Astyanax mexicanus: one gene and its partner. The protein of the gene in region 2 interacts with the protein of the main gene of each other region in a biochemical or structural test. Links are inferred from orthologs where the notes say so. Each region holds a gene or a part of one and is shown on either strand. Other genes may lie near its edges.

Region 1 (6,999 bases), on a different chromosome or scaffold from region 2:
CGACAGGGACAGATACGCCGGTACGGTTACTGTCAGAGAGGAAGCTATGCGATAAAATCTGTTTGTCAGTTTTGACCTATTGCAACCATATAGACTGCCTGGCCAAAAAACAAAAAAAGTCTCCACCTGTATTTAAGTGAGTAAATGATGTGTTGGTTGGTTGATGCTGCAGTTGGTCTGCAGGTTTAGGTTCAGCAACAGTATGTGCTGAAAGAATGAGGTCAGCTGACTACCTGAATATAATTAATTCATATAGACTAATAGGTTATTCTTCTATCAATGGATATATATATATTTTTTTCATATTCCAAGATGAACAATGCCAGAATTCATGGGGCTGGAACTGTGAAAGAGTGAGTGCAAAGGGTTCAGGGAGCATGAGATCATCATTTATCATTTTTACACATGGATTGAGAGAGAGTTCACCACAGAGTCCAGATCTTAACCTCACTGAGAATCTTTGGGATGTGCTGGATGGAGAAGAGCTACTTTGTGCAGCGGTTGGTCAGACTCTACCATCATCAATGCTGCTGCAAGATCTCGGTGAAAAATTAATCCGGAAACATTGGATTGAAATAAATCTTGTAACTTTGCAGAAGCTTATTGAAACAATGCCACAGTGAATGCATGAAGCTGCAATCAAGGCTTAAAGGCAGTCCAACGAAATAATTTTATAAGAAGAAGTGTGTGACCAGTTTATTTCACCAGCATTAACTCCCAACAGTAGTAAGGTTTAACTAATTTAACCATACAATTGGAAGCACAGAAAGCATCTTTATGGTTTCAGAATCTGCCTTCCTGTAAAATTCTTTCAGTAAACTCATTTTTGGTCTATGATGCTGCGCTTGATTGATGCTGTATTTTCAGAGCATCCAATACGCAGAAACAACAGTCATCTTATAATCTTTTCGTACGTTTTATATATATTTATATATTTATATATTTTACAAGGCTGTTGTGGGCTAAAACAAGTCTGCTGTGCTTGCTTGAACACCCAGTATACCGTAATGTAGGAAGCTCTGTTTCTATAGAAATCAAAATGTAAATCAACAAAGGTATTTTTATGTTAAACAAGTATTTTTAACATGTGTTTTCTTTATATTAGTTTAATGTGAAGTTAAAAAAAAAAATTAACAATGGGTATATTAGTCATGCTCTGTCAAACACTTGATTTTAAAATGCCATACAAATAAAATAATTAGTTTCAACACAGCTATAGAGATGCTTTATTGCTTAATTAGAGTAGATCTAAGACATCTGTCTGCGCTGAATGTGGATTTATGTTGGATGTACCAACAATTTCAACAATTTATAGATTTGATTGATCCACATTAAATATATTAAATCTCAAGCACAAGCTATAAGTAACATGATGTTGGTGATAAAATGAAATATTTGCAACCATTCGAAGTATCACTTAATTACATTTGCATTACTTGTACTTTTAAAGTATGCCATGTTCAGAGTTTGCGGCATACAGGAATCAAGGCTATAAAAAAAACAGCAATCCAGCCAAATTTACACACACCTGTTCTGCTCACATATTAGACTTATTTAACCCATCCGAGGATGCAGAACTGTGTGTAGATTGAGGTTCTTGCTCTGATCGTCCCAATGCTGTTCCACAGATTGTACTTCTGATGTCATTTTTCTATAAAAATATATGCATATGCAATATATTTGCTTCCTTCCTGGTATTAAGAAGCCACAATGAAGTGTGATGGCATTAGTCCAGCATTAACAATTGATTTTTTTTTTTCTTTGGCTTCTTAAACTTAGTACTGGCATTAAAATGCAACAGTTGCGTTTTTTTTTTAAATACATACAATACAATATATATTGGTTTAAGACCATATGTGACTATTGATTGAAACAAAAGAAAGTTTTTCAAAGCTAACACACTTAAGACTGGTTACCTGTGTTAGTCAATCTGGGAACGCAGAACTCTTTAGAAGATGAAAAGGAAAAAAAAAAGTTTAACTTTTAATGTAAGTCGCTTTAGAAAGATCTAAGTCCAAGTCAGTTTGCTGCTTTTTTTTTTCGTATATTTATTTTAAACTTCTGATCCAATGAAAATGATGTAGTAAATAGAAAATTGGCAGAGTTTTGGATTTTACTGGATAACTACAATATACACAAGATCTTTTTCTAAGACGTGTTATAGCCATCTATTAATGCAGATTAATGCTTAAAAAAGCATTAAAAAAAGTTTAACCTTTACTGAAAGTCGTTTTAGAAATATTTAATTTTAAGTCAATTTGCCGCATCTCTCTCTATCTATTTATTATGAACCTTTGATTTGTAGGAACGGAAAAATTGGTAAAAAAATGAAGATACACAAGCTTTCTGCTTTCTATCTGTCTCTGTCTTCATTATTGAATGAAACGTTACCTTTTGCAACCATTGCGTGTTGTTCTCCATGATGCTCTCCAGCTGCTCCAGCCTCTGGACCGACTGATCATAATCAGCAGGGTCGTCTTTTTGCGCCAGGTTGCTGTAGCTGCTGGGCGGACAGTTCTCTTGCTCGGGAAGCAGGAAGGTGTAGCTGCAGCCCCCGTTCTGGATCTGGTACTGCTTCTTACCTGTTGAGAACCCGTCTGCCAGGATGAAGCCGATGCTGAGGACGAGTATTCCCGCGTTCTGCATTTTGCCTCTAAATGTTTTTAGCTTTATCTTTTTGGAGAAGTCCCTGGATTGCTGAAGTATGAAGAGAATTGCCTTCCAGTTGTCTTGTGTCAGAAGAAGTTCAGAGGCTCCTCGTGTGTTGCCAAGTCTTGAGAGTCTTCGAGAACTGCATCTGCATGAACCTCCCCAGGCAGGATTCTCTCCTCCTCAGTGTGAGTGAGCTTCATTTATAAGTCTGTCAAAAGCGGGAGGTGGAGACAAATGTCAGCGTGTGGTAACGGAGCGTCACTTGGCAGATCCCCACTCCCAGCTTGTGTTCTCCCCAGTCACCGGTCTCCCACACTCTGCTGTTGTCTGAGGCGATGTGCTCCTGTGGCTGGGTAGTAAGGGTGAAGCCCCTCCCACCACCCGACAGACACCCTTCACTGAGCAGAGCAGCCTAAGGAGCTTCTCAGCCGGTGCAGGAGCAGGAGGCGCTAATTAAACAATTCCCGCTGGATGCTCCTTCAGCTTCCAGATAAAAAAAACAGCCCAAACGGTTTCGGGGTCAGGCCGGTGGAAGAGGACAGGACAACAATGGCAGTATTTGTGTTTTTCTTCGAGGCTTTTACTCCAAAAAGCCCCTCAGGATGCAGCTGTGTTGCTCAAGCAACTTCAGTATCAACAGTGGCTGTTTTAACATGTGATGGAGTGAGAAACTATCATAGATAGAATCATAGATTTAGAAAACGTTTCTAATGCTTCCATATTTTTGTCTTGAGAGCAATATCTAAAAACGTGTTTCAGGAAAAAAAAAAAAGAACTGAAAAAGCATTGTGTTTATAAAAGCAGACAACCCTCTGGCTTTCATTCAAGAGTCATTTATAAAAGTTTTTTTTAATGTCATCTTAATGAGATTCCCCATCTCTATTAATGCATCAGCTAAAAATATATTTTTCTCTTAATTCCTCTGAATTTCGCATAACTGTTATTGCAGTCACATCTGCCAGCTGTTGTGTAAGCATCTCAAAATCGTTAATATTTATTTTTCTCCTTTTTTCATGTTTGCACATTAAGCACAGTAAGGGATGTTTATATAGGCCAATTTTAGTTTTTTGTTCGCTCAGTCTACTAACTATATAATAATTGCTAAATAGTTTTCTCTTCATATTTTTTAGAGTATCTAAACCTCCTGATTTTAGCTGACTCCACCCTCAGCTCAAATTTGAAAAAGGCTTAAAATAAGAGGGTTAGGTTGGAAGGCGCTCTGGATGATGTATGGGTTTAGGGGTGGGGCAGGAGGGAGAGCTGATTGGCTGAGCTGCAGCAGCAGCAGTGTGCCTCTGGTAGGGGTGAGATGCAGATGGTTGGATGTCGTCAGCAGGGTAATAATAGTAATTATTAGGTTTATTCTTGAGTAAAATGAACATTGTTGTTTTATTCTATAAACTACAGACAACATTTCTCCCAAATTCCAAATAAAAATATTCTCATTTAGAGCATTTATTTACAGAAAATGAGAAATGGCTGAAATAACAAAAAAAATGATGCAGAGCTTTCAGACCTCAAATAAAGCAAAGAAAACAAGTTCATATTCATAAAGTTTTAAGAGTTCAGAAATGTAATACTTGGTGGAATAACCCTGGTTTTTAATCACAGTTTTTTTCATGCATCTTGGCATCATGTTCTCCTCCACCAGTCTTACACACTGCTTTTGGATAACTTTATGCTGCTTTACTCCTGGCGCAAAAATTCAAGCAGTTCAGTTTGGTGGTTTGATGGCTTGCGATCATCCATCTTCCTCTTGATTATATTCCAGAGGTTTTTAATTTGGTAAAATTAAGAGCTGTATGTCAGTAAAACAGGGCTGTAAAAGGGACCAGATCTAAAACCTCATTTTTTAAAAAGGTGCTCCCATGTTTAACGCTCTTTAGATGTGTTTGTGAGGACTTACAACCCCCTAAAGACTTTTTTTTAAAGAGGATATCAAATCAGGGGCAGCAGACCAGCCGAAAGTTCCTTCATATGAGCACTGATGGCTCGTGGTGTATATAACACTGACATGACGGATGAGGAAAGCAGGTGCTGCAGGGAGGAAATAATTCCGCTTAGAGGATGTTTTGTCCTTAACCCCTTTGGGGGTCTCTTCAGAACAGACATCACTACAGTGCTCCTGTGGCTTTAATCGTCACTTCCATTAACACCTGACATTTCTCTGTGATCAGCATCAACACTTTCCATTTGATGTACGTCAGAGCTGTTATGAAGAATTCGGGCATAAGCATGCTGGATTTACAGTAAAGACACGAGTTTTCACACTAAATTATGATGTTTTCAGGTGTGAAAAGTGTATAAGGCTTTTAATGCAGTACAACCAGATGCATCAGATATGGTTTTTGCATTCTGTACCCTGTAAACTGAGCTAGAAACTCCATAGCTCTCGTACAATTTCCCATACTCTTTCTCTTTTTTCTTCTGTTCTCTGCTCTCTGTCTGCCTTTTGCGCTCTTTATTTTTCCCTCTTCACATGAGCGATCATTATAGAAAGAGATGCCATAGTTCACAGATCTTTCAGCTCTGCTCCGGAACATATTTTCTCTACAGTCTGCATTGTTATATAGTTAGTTTTTCTGTTGTATATAAGTTTGCATGTTCTTCCCCGAACAAAAAGAGCTGTTCTGTTGCTTTCCTCTTGCTCATTTCTTTGATTTATAACCATAAAAACTGAGTTCTGTCGTCTGGAGATCAGGTCAGCCTGATTTTAATATATCTGACAAAGGAGAAATTAGAACAGACTCTGAATAAATTGTTTATGCAGCATCTCAGTCAGTCAGTTTTAGCGTTAAACAAAAGATTAATATGTGTTTTTGTTAAAATTGAAAACATTTTGTTGTAGTGTAAAAGAGTATAATTCTAATGATAATATAGAGGTACAATATCAGGACTAATTTTCTGAGCATTCCATGGATTTAACTCCTTATTTTACACTTATTCTCCCTGACTTTTAATCCCTAAGGATTAGTAATAGAGAAAATAAAAAGCAAGTTGTTCCTTAATTATGACACTTATGGATAAAAAACCAGGAACCATCGTTGGCTCTGAGAAGTTTATATTGTTAAAAAAATCTGTTTTTTAAAAACATTTTCCTTCCAAAAAAGCACAATTTTCTGTATTATAAGGCCATGTTATTGGAAATCTTAATGCCTGTTACTCTTAACTGAGTATTCTCAGTAAAACAGCGTCTGAAGCTTATCAAATGTGTTAAAATGAAAGCATATTTAAGTATAAATACTCATTGAACTACATTGACACCCATTTTATAGGATGTAAAATACAGTGAGATTCAACCTAACGTGTAAAACATGGCAAAATCTAATAATTGAGGGACAAAAAACAGGAATTCTATAGTAAAACATGTCAGGAAGTTTTATTTCCTTTGATTTCTTAATTTGAAAGAATTGCTGTTTTATGGCTGTGATATTGTGTGGGGAGTGTGGGTCATAACGTTTTTTGTTTTGTTTTGTTTTGTTTTGTTTTTGTTTTTTTTTAATGGTCATCCAAATAGGCTTGGATAGTAAAAGGCTGTATGTGATATATATATATATATACGTAAAACAGATGATATCAACACAGTAGTGAAATATTAAAAAGAAAAAAAGGTATGAAAGATAAAAACAAAACAGAAAAAATTTAATTCAATAAGCTCTATGTAGTTTTAAATTTGACAGTATGGCACCAGTGGATCTAATTGTAAATATCTGTTTTTCTATGAATCATGCTGTGATTTCCTCCTGTTGATGCCTCCAGTGCTCAGGAAAGCGTACACTGACGTAATTCATTTCAATAATAACAACATATCGTCATATGGACTCTGAAAGGAGAGGAAGATGGTTAGACAGAGACCCTGATGCAGCAGCAGCAGCAGCGTCCCGGAAGTGTGCTGAAACTGACGGATAAACACGGAGAGGAGATGCTGATATCAAAGCAGGAGCTCCCAGAATGCCGAGCTTCAGGTGTTTGACCTGAATCACCTTCCTGCGCCGCGCGTGGGAGGCTTGTGTTTGCCTCGGCCGCTTCGTGGTGAACGGAAGCCGCGCGAGGAAGGAAATGACACAACGTCCTCCTTTTTTCTTAAACAGTTTAACATTCAAAGCTCGATCCCTTTTAATTCGGATAAGGGGAATTTGTCATTGCCGGGCTCAGGAATCTAGTTTTTTTTTTTTTTTTTTTTTTATGATTTGGCAGGAAACTTCATCACTCTGAAGCTGTGGCTTCATCACTGCACTCATTCACTCGGGGGGCTTTTGGCTGTAGAGTGTAAAGTAAAAGTTTCTTAATGAAACATGCATTTTTTTGGAATTTAGACTTATTATTAAGTAAATCAGATCTGTGGCT
Region 2 (17,346 bases):
GACACATAAGAATGTCCATAAGATGCTGTTGTTGGACCATTCACAGTCGAGCACTTTTGAACATTGAGGTGTTTAAAAACTCCAGCAGCACTGCTGCATCTGATCAACTAATCAGTGCTAATCACTGCAGTGCTGAGAATAATAATATGACCCACCACCCAAATAAGAACAACTTCTCTGCTCTCTTGTGGTCCTATATATATATATATATATATATATTTTTTTTTTATTTCCTCCATATTCTAAATAAAAATATTCTCATTTAGAGCATTTATTTGCAAAAAATGAGAAATTGCTGAAATAACAACAACAAATAATGCAAAGAAAACAAGTTCATATTCATAAAGTTTTAAGAGTTCAGAAATCAATATTTGGTGGAATAACCCTGTTTTTTAATCACAGTTTTCATGCATCTTGGCATCATGTTCTCCTCCACCAGTCTTACACACTGCTTTTGGATAACTTTATGCCATGCACTCCTTGTGCAAAAATTCAAGCAGTTCAGTTTGGTTTCATCCTACTCTTGATTATATTCCAGAGGTTTTCAATGATATATATATATATATTTATGAGTTCAAAGGAATATATATATATATATATATATATATATATATATATATATATATATATATAAAGTGTGTTAAAAAATAAAGTATGATTCAAAGTATGATTCTCCTTACTATATGTGCAATACATCACCATTCTGTCATTCCCTCTCTCTCTCTCTCTCTCTCTCTCTCTCGTTTTCTCTCTCTCACACACACTCACATCCTTTCCTGTTTTAGCTGCCCCCCGCTTTTACTAACTGTGAATCTGCGAGGTCCTCTTTATTGAAGATCCAGGCATGCCCCCTTTAGTAGCTCTGCTGCTGGCTGGAAGCCTGCGCTGGGTGTGTGTGTGTGTGTTAGTGCTGGAGTTGGAGGAGTTAGAGGAACTCCACCCTGCTGCTCTGTGAGCTGCTGACTGAATTACTGCTGCCCCCAGAACAGCCACAGAGAGGGCCTTGACCCTCCAGCCGGTCAGAGGAGCTCCTTATTCACTTTATCATCCTTTTCTGTTCTATTCCAGGTCCTCCGCTCCATGTGTATACACTATCACCCCTGTACTCTGTGTTCTCTGCTCCTAAACCAGCTTCTACATGCTGCAGCTTGGAAATCCCTACACCTGTATAGGTTGTGAGGTGTTATCTAATGTGAGTCAACACACCCCACACAGATTTCCCACAGATCAGTGCACGGTTCTTTAGCCTTCATGGGACACGGCAAATGTCATAGGGCACAGTACTAGCTCCTGTCCCATGATATTTGGCATGTCAACCTAGTGTAGCGTATATACAGACAGCTAGATAAATGTAGTGCTTAAAATAATCTAAAGTAAAAAACAAAATCCTACGTGTTCCTGTATAGCCAAATTAGCTCAAATTGAAGTGTATTGTTATGTTTGTTCAAATGTAGTCACTTTTTGTTTTAAAGGGGGCATATTAAACCTCTTTTTACACAAGTTATCAGAATCAAAATACTTAATTAATTCCAGAGGGAAATTGGTGTTGTTACAGTAGCACCCATTTAGGTAAAAAAAATAAACACAATAAATAATAAAAATAAGATCAATTTTAAAAATACAATAAAAAATACCTATACCTATGATATAGTAAACATAAATATATGCACCATACAAAAACTATTACCAATTATTATTGTACCTCTATAAATGCACCCTATCACTATTGCACCTATGATCACCATAGAAGAGGTCTATAAGCTATACAAAACATGTTCATGAAGTTCTTTGCACAAAATCACACTCGCATAAAAAAAAAATCGTACAAGCTCTATTCTTACCTGTTTCAGTCCCTTTCAAAATGAACCGTTTAAGGGCTCTGTAACCTTTATGCAAAGTTCTTGCAAAGCTGTTGCAGGCCACACTCCATGTTTACGCTGAGTGTTTAGCACATGTTAGTGTTAGCTTGTGCTAAACGGTAAAACAGGAACAAGCTGGATCATGCTTAATTCGATAGAAGCACAAAACCCATTGTTTGAATGTACTTACATCTTCCTTATCTGCTGACTTGCCAAGGAAAATAGGTACAGATCCCTCCCTCAGAAGAAGTCTGAGGCCGAAATGGTGTTTTTTCAACTGATCTAGTGGGTGGGGCTCTGGCAAAGGGTGGTGCCAGGGTGGTTCTATGCAGATTTTCATTATTTTGATGTCACAGTAGGGGAAGCATCCAAACGGCTTATAGAAGCAAATGATTTCTGACACCAAACTCTTTCAGCTGATTCACAGAAAACGGATGGATGGAATTTAATTTCTGTGTTTGGAGTGTTTATAGGTGCAAGTAGAAATACAAAAGCACACAAAAAATGAGTTTTGCATTATATATCCCCTTTATAATAATCTCATTCAAATTCAGATCAGTGTTCAGTGTTGTTATGTGAGTGATGTTGAGGTCCGCCCGTAAGAAACGCAGAGGGCAGTGTTTTAATGCTGTGAATGAGTGTCACTGTTTCCACAGCTGCTGTAATAACTTCAGCATCCTCATACGTCTCTCTCTCTCTCTCTCTTTCTCTCTATCCTCCCTCTCCCTGTCACATGCTTTCTCTTTTTCTCTCACTCTCTGTCCCACACACACACACACACACACAGAGGAAGAAACACAGAGCTCTGTCCAAACAGCAGTTCCTTAAACCTGTTCCTCTCAGGAGCCAAAGGTCCATGAGAATATTTTTCCTAGCGGCGCTGAGAGAAGCCGGGCTGATCATTATTGTAAATACACACCATGTTTCTCACTGTTCTCTAGCTGCCCTACTTACACTGCAAATCCACTCACTTCCTCACCAAAACACACACTGCCTTTGCTTCACAAGTTCAGAATCACTGCTCAGAATCTGTTTTGTTCCAGAATTTCTTAAAGAGTAACTAAACCCCCTGATTTTAACTGACTCCACCCTCAGATGGCTCCAAATGGTTTGGGGTGAGCTGGAGCACAGAGTGAAGAAGGTAAAGGGGCAACATGTGCTAATAAACACCTCTGGGAACTCCTTCCTTCAAGACTGTCGGAAAACAGTCACCATTTCAGGTGACCACCTCTTTGAGAAGCACATTGAGAGAATGATGCCGAGAGTGTGCAAAGCAGTAATCAGAGCAAAGGTTGGCTATGTTGAAGAAACTAGAATATAAAACGTGTTTTCAGTTATTTCACCTTTTTTGTGTACATAAAACACCACATGTGTTCATTCATAGTTTTGATGCCTTCAGTGAGAATCTACAATGTAAATAGTCATGAAAATAAAGAAAACGCATTGAATTTTTAAAAGGCAAAAAAAAAAAAAAAAATGGGGCACTGGGTGATGTATGGGTTTAGAGGTGGGGCAGGAGGGAAAGAGCTGATTGGCTGACCTGTATCAGCAGCAGTGGGCCTCTGATAGCGGTGAGACACAGATGGTTGGATGTCAGCAGTGGGGTGTTTGGGTATTATTGATTAACTGATTTGCGTATTGTGATTTGTCTGTGTACCATAGTATATGGACTCATCATCCTCTCCTGTAGCACATTTGAACCTGAGAGGACACTGCAGAGGCGGAAATTCCCACAATAAATAAATGTTTTTTAAAGGTTAGGAAATGTTTATAAAAAATAAGCAGGACTGGTTTGTTTCATTACTTCAAATAAACTTAAATTTCAGCTATAAATTAAAAAATATGGTTCAGGGTTTAGTGGCTCTTTAAACAGTGTACAATGAGATTTCTCTCAGCCCAAACTAGACACCAGAATGTTCAACCCTAGTTCCAAAAAAGATGAGACACTGTGTAAAATAAAAAACAGAATGCACCACCAGTTGTCATTGTAGAGAGAAAGAGATGTAGAGAGAAACAAAGATCAATAAATAGAGAGAGAAATAAGTAGAGAGAAAGAGAAAAAAGTAGAGCAAGAAAGAGTGAGATGTGAAAGAAAGAAGAGAGACAAATAGAGAGAAAGAAAGAAAAACAGAAAGAGTAAGAAGTAAAGAGAAAGAAATAAAGAGATGTAGAGAGAAATAGAGATACAGAGAAAAAAAGAGCGATAAGTAGATAGAATGAAAGAAGTAGAGAGAAAGAAAAAGAGAAAAATAAAGAGAGTTAGTAGAGAGAAATAAACAAAGAGATGTAGAGAGAAATACAGAGATGTAGAAAGAGAAAAAGAGCGATAAGTAGATAGAAAGAAAGAGAGAAAAGTAGAGAGAGTAAGAAGTAGAGAGAGAGACATAGAGATGCAGAGAAAGAAAAAGAGCGATAAGTAGATAGAAAGAAAGAAGTAGAGAGAAAGAAAGAGAAAAGTAGAGAGAGAGACATGGAGATGCTGAGAAAGAAAAAGAGCGATAAGTAGATAAAAAAGTAGAGAGAAAGAAAGAAAGAAAAGAAGAAAAAGAGAAAAATAAAGAGAGTTAGTAGAGAGAAATAAACAAAGAGATGTAGAGAGAAATACAGAGATGTAGAAAGAGAAAAAGAGCGATAAGTAGATAGAAAGAAAGAAGAAGAGAGAAAGAAAGAAAAGTAGAGAGAGTAAGAAGTAGAGAGAGAAACATAGAGATGCAGAGAAAGAAAAAGAGCGATAAGTAGATAGAAAGAAAGAAGTAGAGAGAAAGAAAGAAAGAAAAGTAGAGAGAGTAAGAAGTAGAGAGAGAGAAATAGAGATGCAGAGAAAGAAAAAGAGCGATAAGTAGATAGAAAGAAAGAAGTAGAGAGAAAGAAAGAGAAAAGTAGAGAGAGAAAGAAGTAGAGAGAGAGACATGGAGATGCTGAGAAAGAAAAAGAGCGATAAGTAGATAAAAAAGTAGAGAGAAAGAAAGAAAGAAAAGAAGAAAAAGAGAAAAATAAAGAGAGTTAGTAGAGAGAAATAAACAAAGAGATGTAGAGAGAAATACAGAGATGTAGAAAGAGAAAAAGAGTGATAAGTAGATAGAAAGAAAGAAGAAGAGAGAAAGAAAGAAAGAAAAGTAGAGAGAGTAAGAAGTAGAGAGAGAGAAATAGAGATGCAGAGAAAGAAAAAGAGCGATAAGTAGATAGAAAGAAAAAAGTAGAGAGAAAGAAAGAAAAGTAGAGTAAGAAGTAGAGAGAGAAATAGAGATGCAGAGAAAGAAAAAGAGCGATAAGTAGATAAAAAAGTAGAGAAAGAAGTAGAGAGAAAGAAAGAGAAAAGTAGAGAGAGAAAGAAGTAGAGAGAGAGACATAGAGATGCTGAGAAAGAAAAAGAGCGATAAGTAGATAGAAAGAAAGAAGTAGAGAGAAAGAAAGAGAGAAAAGTAGAGAGAGAAAGAAGTAGAGAGAGAGAAATAGAGATGCAGAGAAAGAAAAAGAGCGATAAGTAGATAGAAAGAAAGAAGTAGAGAGAAAGAAAGAGAAAAGTAGAGAGAGAGACATGGAGATGCTGAGAAAGAAAAAGAGCGATAAGTAGATAGAAAGAAAGAAGTAGAGAGAAAGAAAGAAAGAAAAGTAGAGAGAGTAAGAAGTAGAGAGAGAGAGAAATAAAGAGATGCAGAGAAAGAAAAAGAGTGATAAGTAGATATAAAGAAAGAAGTAGAGAGAAAGAAAGAGAGAAAAATAGAGAGAGTAAGAAGTAGAGAGAGAGACATAGAGATGCAGAGAAAGAAAAAAGCGATAAGTAGATAAAAAAAGTAGAGAGAAAGAAAGAGAGAAAAGTAGAGTAAGAAGTAGAGAGAGAGAGAAATAAAGAGATGCAGAGAAAGAAAAAGAGTGATAAGTAGATATAAAGAAAGAAGTAGAGAGAAAGAAAGAGAGAAAAGTAGAGAGAGAAGAAAGAAGTGAAGAGAAAGAGAGAGAGAAGTAGAGAGGAAGAAAGAGTGAGAGGCCTTTTCCAAGTCATCTTAATTATATAAACAGATATAATTGAGAACAGGTGAATGTGATCAGAACTCATGTGAGAAGGAACTGGGAAACGAACATTGTCTGGATAGAAGTTTATTATATTCCTGTAAAATGTTCTGTTCCAACTGTGCTCTCCAGCTGCTGATGGTGAACAGTGGGAATCAGAAGTTGAGCTTTTGATCTTTGGACTATAGAATAATCACAGTAGAAGAGCCGGTTAAAGACCGAGTCAGCACACAGTTTAATGTCTTTTAGAAATGTGAGGCTGAAACTTTAGCAGAGCGGACTTGATTTTAAAACATTATAACATTATAATAATATTTTAACTTAAACTGAATTTTACATCTAATGTGTCTGCCTTTCCAGGCTGAGCTCCACTCTCTCCTCCATCTCACTCAAGAGACTAGTAGCAGTTTTGCCTGTTGACACACTCACACACAGCTGGGTTTGCTCCTGCTTCCCCCATACTGCCATAACTTCACATTCATTTGAGTTATTCACTAAAAAGCTGGACATTTACACTGAGCATGTGATGGTGTGAGCTGGCTTATCTGGGTATGTGGATACGTCTGTAATTCTGCTCAGTATAAAACGTCCATCAGATTCTGACTCCTGGGGAACATTGGGGAACACGGCGTAGTGGAGACAAAGGTTAAAGCCAGATCTTAACATAACCCAGTGCTGCTTTTGACTTTATATATCAGTAAATGATGACTTATTTAAACCATTACATAGCTTAAAATAATAAGAGCTAGTGATTCACTCTCAGGGCAACAGAAGCTTATGGGAGGGATGTTTTATATCACAATCATGAAAACATGAGGCAACGATGAGGCAAACATTTCCCAAGATTGAATCTTTTTTTTTTTCAGAATCATTGGTTTCATTTGCTTCCATCTGTCAAAATCCCCATTTATACTATCACTTTAAAAACCAAAGGACAGAGCATATCAAACACAGATGCAGCTAAAAAAGAATTAAAGTATAGTCAGTATGCAAAAAAATAGGTTGGCAATACTTCGCAAAGACAAGGATATATATACATACAAATAAATTGAACACGTAATTATACAAACAGATGGAATTGAGAACAGGTGAATGTGATCAGTACTCAGGTGAAAAGGAATGAGAAAACAATTCAGTGAGTGTTAGCACTCACTTTTTCAAATCTCAAAATGTATTGGGATAGCAGGAGTGTGTATGACTTCCCTTCTTCTAATTATTTTAAAATCTGATCAACCTGTAGATTGCTACTCCAAAACGATCGTTCCAAAGTCAGAGCTCACCTGGCTCTTAAAGTCTATTTCGGTGTGTTTTTCTCTGTTTTTGTCAGTTGGCGCATTCCTGAGTAATTAAGCTGTATAAACGACTGTATGCATGATTTTTGATGCAGTTTGCATCACTTGGGGTTGTAAGAGTTTTAAAGGTTAATGGCAGGTGACACACTGATTGGTTTATTTCACGTTATGCCCAAATACAGACCCATTATTAATTTAAATAGAATTAGTACATGCCTTTTGCGTGTTTCGAACCGTGTTTGGTAATTTTTTTGCACCCTCACGATACAAAAGACACACAGACACTCCCTAAATCCAGCTGTGTGATCCGCAATTGCCCAGTGCACTATAGATGACTATAATAGGGCCCTAGTTGTGTACTGTATAGTGTACTTCTTGGTGAGAGATTGTAGACCACTAATTCATTTTGCTCAGTCAACAGACTTTGACAGGGGGCACATCATTGGACTAAAAAAGGCGGTATGGTAGTTTTGATGAATTTTTTCACCACCTAGGTCTTCTATCATCCAGACATCATTGCAGTCATTTGCAGTAGTGTTGTGAAAGAGAAGCCTGGACTGCTGTAGACTGGAACAGTATTGTCTCAGGACAAATCAAGATAAAGTTTGGGATTCAAATGTGGTTGGGTTTGGGTGTGGACGCCTTGTGATGAGCGCTTCAGTCCTGCTGTGTTAGCTGTAGAGCAACATATTGCCCCAACTGCTGGTGTGATGATCTGAGGAGTCATCGCATACAACAGTCAGTTAGTCCTAGTAGTAATACAGGGTGTTGCCTCTCATGGTAGGGCCTCAATGAGCGGTGTACTTTTACCGTCGTTACGATAGCAAAGACACACTAAAACAACCTAAATCAAGCTTTACGGTGCGCTGTTGTTAGCTCATTCCATTCCAATGTCTAACTTTCAAAAAGTGTAGGATTTAAGGAGTGAAACAAACTTATTTTATTTAGTTTTATTTTTAAAACAGTACGTAAATTTGAAGTGTCCATGATGGAAAGCTTAGGAAGTACAGAAGGTAACCATCTAGAAAGCATGTAAGGTGGACCATCAAATTAAAGTGTTACCATATTCACTTTCTCTCTCTCTCTCTCTCTCTCTCTCTCAGTTTTCCCTCCTCCCTCGTGAGAAGTCTACGGTAAGGTCAGGGTGGGCACCACTCCCCTCAGGGCTGGGGCAGGAGCTGCTGTTAATGACAAGCAATTGTTCAGAGAGGGAGAGAGAGAGAGAGAGAGAGAGGGATAGAGACAGAAAGAGAGAGAGAGACAGGGAGAGAGAGGAAACAGGAAAAAGGAACTTCTACTCCCAGTGCCTGGACAGAGCAGAGCTGAGAGGGTGAAAGGGGGTGTGGAGGGTCGAGAGAGAAAGAGAGAGAGAGAAAGCGAGAGAGAGAGTTCCAGCTCTTCACTCAGGGAGGAGGGATGTTTTCAGAGGTTTGTTTCTGACTCTGTTTCTCTGGGCTCTCTGAGCTCTGAAGCTCTGCTCTGGATGTGGACGTGCTGCCCCGTGTCCCGCGCCCCCGGTGGCCCCCTGTCCCGCCGCCGGGGGTACACGCCTCACCCCTCCGGCTCCGTCACGCTCTGTCTGCTCAGCTATCTCCTCACAGGTCAGTGATTTACCCTTAAACTACTGTTAAACTACTATAGGAGTTTAACTACTGTCTGCAGTGTCAGGCTGTTGTTCTGGCTGGTCTACCTGCTTGGTCATGATGGTCAGTAGATGGTGGAAAAGTGTGGTGAAGCTTCATTCTGCTCAACCAATGAACAAGTAATTATATAAACAGATATAATTGAGAACAGGTGAATGTGATCAGCACTCAGGTGAGAAGGAATGAGAAAACAGTTTAGTGAGTGTTAGTCAGAGCTCACCTGCCTCTTAAAGTCTATTTCTGTGTGTTTTTCTCTGTTTTGGTCAGTTGTTGCATTCCTGAGTAATTAAGCTGTAAAAACAATTCACGATTTTTGAAACAATTTGCATCACTTGGGGTTTTAAGAGTTTTAAAGGGAATGGCAAGTGACATACTGATTGGTTTATTTCACGTTACGCCCAAAAACACACCCATGATTAATCATGCTGAGAGGCATGCTGGCTTAATCATGCTTAATCATTTTGGTAACATTGCTACAACATCAGTGTAACATAGCTAATTTTCATAACGTTATTATCCATCTAGCTGGGAACATTATGTAAGAAACATTCTAATAATGCTGTGATGCAAACCATTATTATGTCTCATTTTTAGTATCTTCCTCAAACATTTTCAAAATGTTGCTAAACGTTCTTATAATGTTTCCTGTATGGTGAGATGCTTGGTCATATTGGTTGGCTACCTTGGTCAAGCTGGTCATGCTGATCAACCTGTTTGGTTATGATAATATTTGTTTAGTTGAATGTTTTCTGAATGTTACAGTTAATGTTCTTAGAACATTCAATTTCAAGTTTTTTTTGGATGGTCTTAAAACATTTATAAATGTTCTGATACTGTTGTTGCAGTGTGATTTGTTTTAGTTTTGGGAACCATTATTATGTCACATTTTTAGTACCTTCCTGAAACATTTTCAAAATGTTGCTAAACGTTATTATAATGTTCCCTGTTAGGTGAGATGCTTGGTCATATTGGTTAGCTGTCTTGGTCATGCTGGTCAACCTGCTTGGTTATGATAATATTTGTTTAGTTGAATGTTTTCAGTTAATGTTCTTAGAACATTCAATCTCAAGTTCATTGGATGGTCTTAAAACATTTATAAATGTTCTGATACTGTTGTTGCAGTGTCACTTGTTTTAGTTTGGGGAATGTTACTTTCAACATTTTCATAACGTTATTATCCTTCTAGGTGGGAAATATTTTAAGAAACATTCTAATAATGTTGTAATTCAGACAATTATTGGGTAAAATTTTTCAGTACCTTCCTGAAACATTTTCAAAATGTTGCTGAACATTCTTATAATGTTCCCTGTTAGGTGAGATGCTTGGTTATAATGGTTTATTATCTTGGTCATGCTGGTTTTGCTGGTCAACCCGTTGATTAGATAATATTTGTTTAGTTGAATGTTTTCTGAATGTTACAGTTAATGGTCTTAGGTTATTCAATTTCAGTTTTTTTTGGATGGTCTTAAAACGTGTTTAAATGTTCTGATACTGTTGTGGCAGTGTCACTTGTTTTAGTTTTGGGAATGTTACTTTTAACATTTTCATAACGTTATTATCCATCTAGCTGGGAACATTATGTAAGAAACATTCTAATAAGAATGTAATTCAGACCATTATTATGTCACATTTTCAGTACCTTCCTGAAACATTTTTAAAATGTTGCTAAACGTTCTTATAATGTTCCCTGTTGGCTGGGAAGCTTGGTCATATTGGTTGGCTACCTTGGTCACGGTGGTCATGCTGGTCAAGCTGCTTGGTTATGATAATATTTGTTTAGTAGAACATTTTCTGAATGTTACAGTTAATGTTCTTAGACCATTCAATTTCAGTTTTTTTGGATGGTCTTAAAACGTTTTTAAATGTACTGGTAACGTCACTGCCATGTCACTTGTTTAAGTTTTGGGAATGTTACTTTTAACGTTTTTCATAAAGTTATCTGCCTAGCTGGGAACGTCAATTAAACATCTATATATAAGCTTGGTCTTATTGGTCGACTAGCTTGTTCATGCTGGTCATTCTGGTGAAGCTGCTTGGTCATGATGGTCCACAAATGGTGGAATAGTGTGGCGAGACTGGTCATGCTGGCCAACAAGTTTGGACATGATATCAATATTTGGTTTGTTGAACGTTTTCAAAATGTTACAGTTAACATTACTGGAATGTTAGTAAAAGCTGAATAATTTGTAGTAGGTACTGAAAAAAATTACATCATAAAATGTACAGTAAATATTGTATAATGTACAGCTCTACACCACTTAAAATGGTGAGTTTCTTTAATTTAACCAAGTTGAAAAACCTCTGGAATATAATTAAGAGGAAGATGGATAATCACAAGCCATCAAACCAAACTGCACTGCTTGAATTTTTGCACCAGGAGTAAAGGCATAAAGTTACCCAAAAGCAGTGTGCAAGACTGGTGGAGGAGAAGATGCCACGATGCATGAAAACTGTCATGCGTAAAAAACAGAGTTATTCCACCAAATATTGATTTCTGAACTCTTAAAACTTCATGAATATGAACTTGTTTTTTTTGCATTATTTGAGGTCTGAAAGCTCTGCATCTTTTTTTTTATTTCAGTCATTTCTCATTTGCTGTAAATAAATGCTCTAAATGACAATATTTTTTATTTGGAATTTGGGAGAAATGTCTGTAGATTATAGAATAAAACAACAATGTTCATTTTACTCAAACATAAACCTATAAATAGCAAAATCAGAGAAACGGATTCAGAAACTGAAGTGGTGTCTTAATTTTTTCAGAGCTGTGTAGTACATGCTGAATAATTTGAAGTAGTATGTACTGAATCATTTATTCTAAATATTGAGTAATTTATATTGATACTTCTTGAGTGTGGGACAGGCCACCACTGTTGGGAGTTTGTCTTCTAAGTGTTCTCTCTAGTGTGTAACGGGTTAAAGGCAGAGGCCAAATTTCAAAGTATGGTGCATATGATTGTCTTGTCTTGTCGTGTCTTGTCTTAATTACTCAATATTGATTGAATATACAGCTCTATGCTTTCTTTATTGTTGTAACCAAGCATGGTGACTAAAGTTTAAGCATTTGTGAGGTATTGCCGGAATCCTGCAAAACCCTAGTATCTTCATTTTTGTTGTTTAATTTTTTGACATAATGTGAATCTAGCAATTCTTTATGTCATAATATTGTAAAAAAAAAAAATTGAATGAACCAATAGAAATGCTTCAAAATTACTTGGACTGAATTGTTTTGTATTGACCTTCCCAAGTTATTAAGATTATTTTATTATATTCTGTAAATTTGAATAGTCATATGCGAACCTTTTTAACCATTTGAAGAAATCACATCACTTCAGTAGAACACTTGTTTCTGTGTGTTGTGAGCAGATAAGGTCAAAGGGTTAAATTCTTTCTTTTGTGCTTCTCTCTGATAAGAAACCCTTTATGCTTCCAGAGACGAGCTGCTGTAACAGAACCAGATGTGTGAGGATGCTAGAAATGAGCTAAAGGCAGATCGTTGTTGTTTAATACATTATTTAAATACATTAGTGGTCCTTCGCTTTGTTTCAAAATGTCATGATAAATGGACCAATAGAAATGCTCCAAAAAGTCTTGGAATCAATTCTTTTTGCATTGACTTCCATTGAAAGTTAAAGAGTTTTTTTTTTGTTCTACTGAAAAGTTTTGCTGTAACCGATTTAAAAAAAAAAATCATGTAATTTTATTTTTAAGCACAGTAAACTTAACAAATATATATACATATATATTTTAAATTTAGAGTTTCCTGAATATATGTATATAATATATATATATATTTTTCTGAAGTACTATATACTATATTGGTTTAAGTAATAATTACATAATTAATATAATTTACACCAACTTAACCAGAACACAAAATATATGATAGTATATTATTTTTTTTTATTATATCAATTGCTTTGCACAATAACTGTACTTTAAATGTGATAGTCAGGTGAATAAAATGTGTATATTTGTATTTAGTCTTCTCTTTGATATCTTATAAAAATGAAGTTGAAAAAAAGTTGATGAAGAAAAAAAACTATTGAGTGAACAGTATAGAGCATACAGCCAACACACAGATACTGCAGTTTAGAAAATGATGCTTGTTCTTAAAGCCTACAACACAGAGAGCAAGAAGTTAATCATAATATATGATTGACGACTTTACCTAAGCTAGTCCGGGGGTGGGGGGGTTGGTGGGGGATTGACTACACACTGATGGTGAGTGTCATAAAACGGGAGTCACACCCAAATAAATGCAGAATAAACTCAGTTATTATAAGTTAATTCAACTAGTGGGTTTACAGTGTAGTTTTTCTTTGGATAGCGACTATATATATATATATATATATATATATATATATATATATATATATATATATATATATGTATGTGTGTGTGTGTGTGTGTGTGTGTGTGAGTTAGTGAGGTAATCTGTAAGGAGATATGTACTGTGCTGGTCTGCTGCTTTGCTGGGACACGGGATAGCACCTCTGAGCCCACCACGGCTTCACCACTCTGTGTAGCCGGATGATTTAGGGGGTGTTTTGGGGATGGTCCAGATTCAGTATGTGCCTGTGTTTTTGTGTGTGTGTGTGTGTGTGTGTGTGTGTGTGTGTGTGTGTGTGTGTGCTATCTATGGATGTAAGCCAGCTATAATAGACCTAGGCCTTTAGGCCAGGTTCTGACATTTCAGTCTAAATGTGTGCAGAAACCTGAGGATATAACCTATAGACTCCAAACATCTCAGCAAGAGGGTCACGGAGTATTGTATGGCCAGAAGTATTGGGACACCTGCACTGTAAAACTTAACTGCGTTTCTTACTGAACTAAAAATGATCAAAAATGATGTGTTGCCTTCTTGCATTTATTGCTGCTATTTAAAGTTTTTGTTTTAAGTGTTTGATTTGAGTTAGTATAACTAGTAATTTAAAGCAATTGGTTTTCTCAAATTAAATAAGCTGATACTGTTTGATAGGAAGTTCTTATAACTTTTAATTATAACGTTTTAGTTTTAGTTATAACGTTTAATTGGTAAAACTGAGTTTGCTCAGCTTGATTTGCTTGAATTGATTTCTGAACTCTTAAATTTTTATGAATATGAACTTGTTTTCTTTGCATTATTTGAGGTCTCATTTATAGCTCATTTATGTGAATGAATCATTTTGAGAATGAATGTTTGTTCAACTCCACACAGTATTAAAATTAACTAAAAAAATAGTTTTGAAAACTTAATTAATTACCTAATTAATTATGAATTACCTAAAAAAGGATTTGAGTAGACTTAACTTACTAGGGTTTTCAGTGCACATGAATCCAAAATACTTAAATAAACTAACAATTATACTGTGAACAGGGATTAGTACTTAACTCACTTAATTTACTCAATTCTATTTAACAATGATTATGTGTATTATGCACACTCATTTCAAAAAATATTTTTTGCTTAAATCGTTTGAGTTATCAAACTTAAATGGTTTAAGGCGATCAGTTTCCTCAAATCATTTGAGTTTATTTAACTTGAAAGGTTTTACAGTATGCTTATTAATTGTTTCTTCTGAATTCAAGGCCATTAAAACTATGTTTATCCTTCTTTTGTTGGAGTAACTGTTTCTACTGTCCAAAGAAAGCTTTCTAATTGATGTTGGTGCATTGCTCTGAAGATTTGGTTTGCGTGACAAGCATATATATATATATATATATCATTTCACTTTTGCAGAAGCAGCATTACCTTTTTAGAATGTACTTTCCTGGTTTTCAGTCTAAAATTAACGAACATATTCTACAGTGAATTTGCAAATCAACCCATGACTTAAAGCAGAAACAGAATGCCGTGAAATGAAACCCTAAAAAAGCAAGTGATCCATTCATGCTTGTGCTCAGAAAGGCATTTTTCCACTGCGACTGCTGACAAAAAAACACACATTCAGCCTGATGAACCAGGGTTTGCTCATAGTTTGATGTTTGTAATGGTACAGTACCAATCTGCACTGTGTTATTGTAGCTAATCAGATCTGTGTGGGAAGAATATGACCACAGATTTGTAGTGAGAGTTGCTATGACAGTGTATCTGTGGGTTTTTTCATTCATTTTAAAATGTTTAGGTGTGGTCTCTAGTATGAATGAATGTCATGTGAGCTGGTTTTGTGAAAAAGTGTGCTGGTGGTCCAGTATAATGCAAACATATTGCCTCTGATTGGCTAACAGCAATGTGACACCAGTGAGACAGACAACAGTTAGAAACGCTTTAAAATAAAGGCATTTTTACACTAACAACAGTCTTTGCAATTTCACATATTACTTTACAACATGTGTAATGTCCTGCTAAGTGCAGTTCAGACACTGACCTAGTCTTAGAGTCTCTGTAAAACGCCAAATCCACCGGAAATCCTATTTAAACACACAAAGGTGGGCCGTCCAGGTCCAGAAAGTAAAAATCCACCCCGGGCAGACAGTTGGAGCAAAATCCAAGAGTGGATTTTTACTTTTAACTAATGTAAACAGAACTTTTCTAAGCATAAACCTACCTATCTCAATTGTACTTTACTGGTGTTGTTCCATAGACAGATTCTAACTATTTGTTCCTTATCTCTGAACTACTTAAGTATGAGTAACTAATTTATTTCCTGTTTATTTTTATGAATGTGGCTGTGGGTGACTACAGAACTGGCACTAGCATCTAAGCCAGGGTGGTCAATTCTGCTCCTGGAGGTCTGATTCCTGCTAGGTTTCATAGTTTTCCTGCTAACTTCCAGGCTTATTAGCTCTTCTAGAGTTAGGTAATAATCAGCAAACTGTGCTGGACCTTGGCTAAGCCTTGGTCTTATTATAAAAAGATTATAAAGAGAGGCTTGATCACAGTAATTATATTTTGACCTCCCTTTTTCTAAGTGAATATAATGGCCTTCCCTCTCCTCCCATCATTTAGAGGAATGCTAGCCAGTATGGGTGTCTATAAGCTGAATAGAACTGGTGTTTCTGCTATGTACTGTAATATTATTGCCATTACAAATGACAAAATCCTGCAGAAGGCTTTTAATCATAATGCAAAACAACTATAAATAATTTGGTATCTTTTCAAAATAAGATATCTTGTGTAATCCCACATGGTTAAATTTTACGGCCTACAAAACTGCTAATAATTACGACAACAGGCCCATGTGAAGTTCGACAACTAGGTTTTACCATTAAAGAGTACGTTGGTCTTTTGGTATACAAACAAGTGCTAAGGTCACTATAAGGTGCACTTAAAATCCTTTAATTTCCCCCAAAATGATCAGTGCACCTTTTAATCTGGTGCACCTTATGTATGAATTTAACCAGTCACTTATTAAGGAGCAGTAAAGCCACTCTACTGAAATACAGTGTTATACAGGAGTTTCAGTTTAGTGTCATCAGGGCTGGAGTAGCATTAGCTGCAAGCTAGCTCTTGCTCTAGCACTAGCTCTTTAGCCGTACAGAGGTGAGAAATATCAGCCTGTAGCACTGCTGGAGCAGCATTAGCATTACTTGCTAACTGCGCTAAGTATTTCAGACTGTAGTCTGCGAGTTTACCATGTTAAAACAAGCTACGTGGATGAACCGCCAGCTAATATCGCCATGGCTTACTGGAACACTCAGGGACTAACGGTTAGCTGCTAATGCTAATGATCCAGCCTTAATGCTGGAGAAATTGGGGAATCTAAGCTTACTGTAAATAAACATAACTTCTTTACTCATCCAAATAAACAGTTTTCAAGAGAGAAATCTGTATAACATCCAGAGCTCATTTGACTCTTTTTTTACAATTACAGTTTTGTTTACTTGGCTTAGCTTTACTTAACTTAGTTAGCTACCTTCCCACCACCACCACCGAGCAGTGAGACCTGCTGAATTAGAAGGAAAACATGGCGACACCCCTGTTCCTTACTAGTGTCACTTAAAATGCATCTTATAATGCAGAAAAATATGAGAAATACAGTTAGCTCAACTATTGTTACGATCCTAGAGTCTACATGTCTTAAAAGCTTAAATAAATAAAGCTTAATTCCTTGTTTGTCCTTGTGTATTCCTCAATTTAAGATTTTATAAAGATTTTGTATTTAAGAGTTTTTCCAGCCTTAACACAACCCCTGACATTTTGAAAGGGCTTGTTAATGAGCTTATTAGTTGAATCAGGTGTGTTGAGGGAAAGGAAAAATAGTCTGCCAGGACCAGGATTGAGAAACACTGAGATAAAGTAATAAATGTGACAACGTGTTGATCATTTGTGACTCATAAAATTGATTACCCATATAAATTAGTCATTTTCTGCAACCTTTAGTGATGTGTGGAGTGTGTGGGGTGGCCAGAACATTACCTGATGAGGTAACGCTTTATAATACAGCCCGCGTTTTAGAGGGTAAGTACCCATTACTTACGGTGTAAGTTCTCTGTATGTACCCTTTACTTACGGTGTAAGTTCTCTGTATGAACCAGGGTACATTCAACATACTTACCGGGTCCTACAGGTACTTAACTGTAAGTATAAATAAAGAACACAGAAAGAACCAGGAACAA

The links.
Region 1: the proteins of tek (region 2) and angpt2a form a complex in vitro, tested with the Homo sapiens proteins (7 studies listed by BioGRID and IntAct, with this or other methods). The link is inferred for Astyanax mexicanus from reciprocal best matches to the Homo sapiens genes TEK and ANGPT2.

Annotation. Positions count from the first base shown.
Region 1 is NC_064414.1:2,731,754-2,738,752, reverse strand, and holds the start of angpt2a (angiopoietin-2a), read right to left. Parts: upstream 3,001-6,999; 5' UTR 2,647-3,000; coding exon 2,392-2,646; intron 1-2,391. UniProt on the Homo sapiens protein: Binds to TEK/TIE2, competing for the ANGPT1 binding site, and modulating ANGPT1 signaling. Can induce tyrosine phosphorylation of TEK/TIE2 in the absence of ANGPT1.
Region 2 is NC_064408.1:10,130,334-10,147,679, reverse strand, and holds the start of tek (tyrosine-protein kinase receptor Tie-2), read left to right. Parts: upstream 1-8,380; 5' UTR 8,381-8,645; coding exon 8,646-8,763; intron 8,764-17,346. UniProt on the Homo sapiens protein: Tyrosine-protein kinase that acts as a cell-surface receptor for ANGPT1, ANGPT2 and ANGPT4 and regulates angiogenesis, endothelial cell survival, proliferation, migration, adhesion and cell spreading, reorganization of the actin cytoskeleton, but also maintenance of vascular quiescence.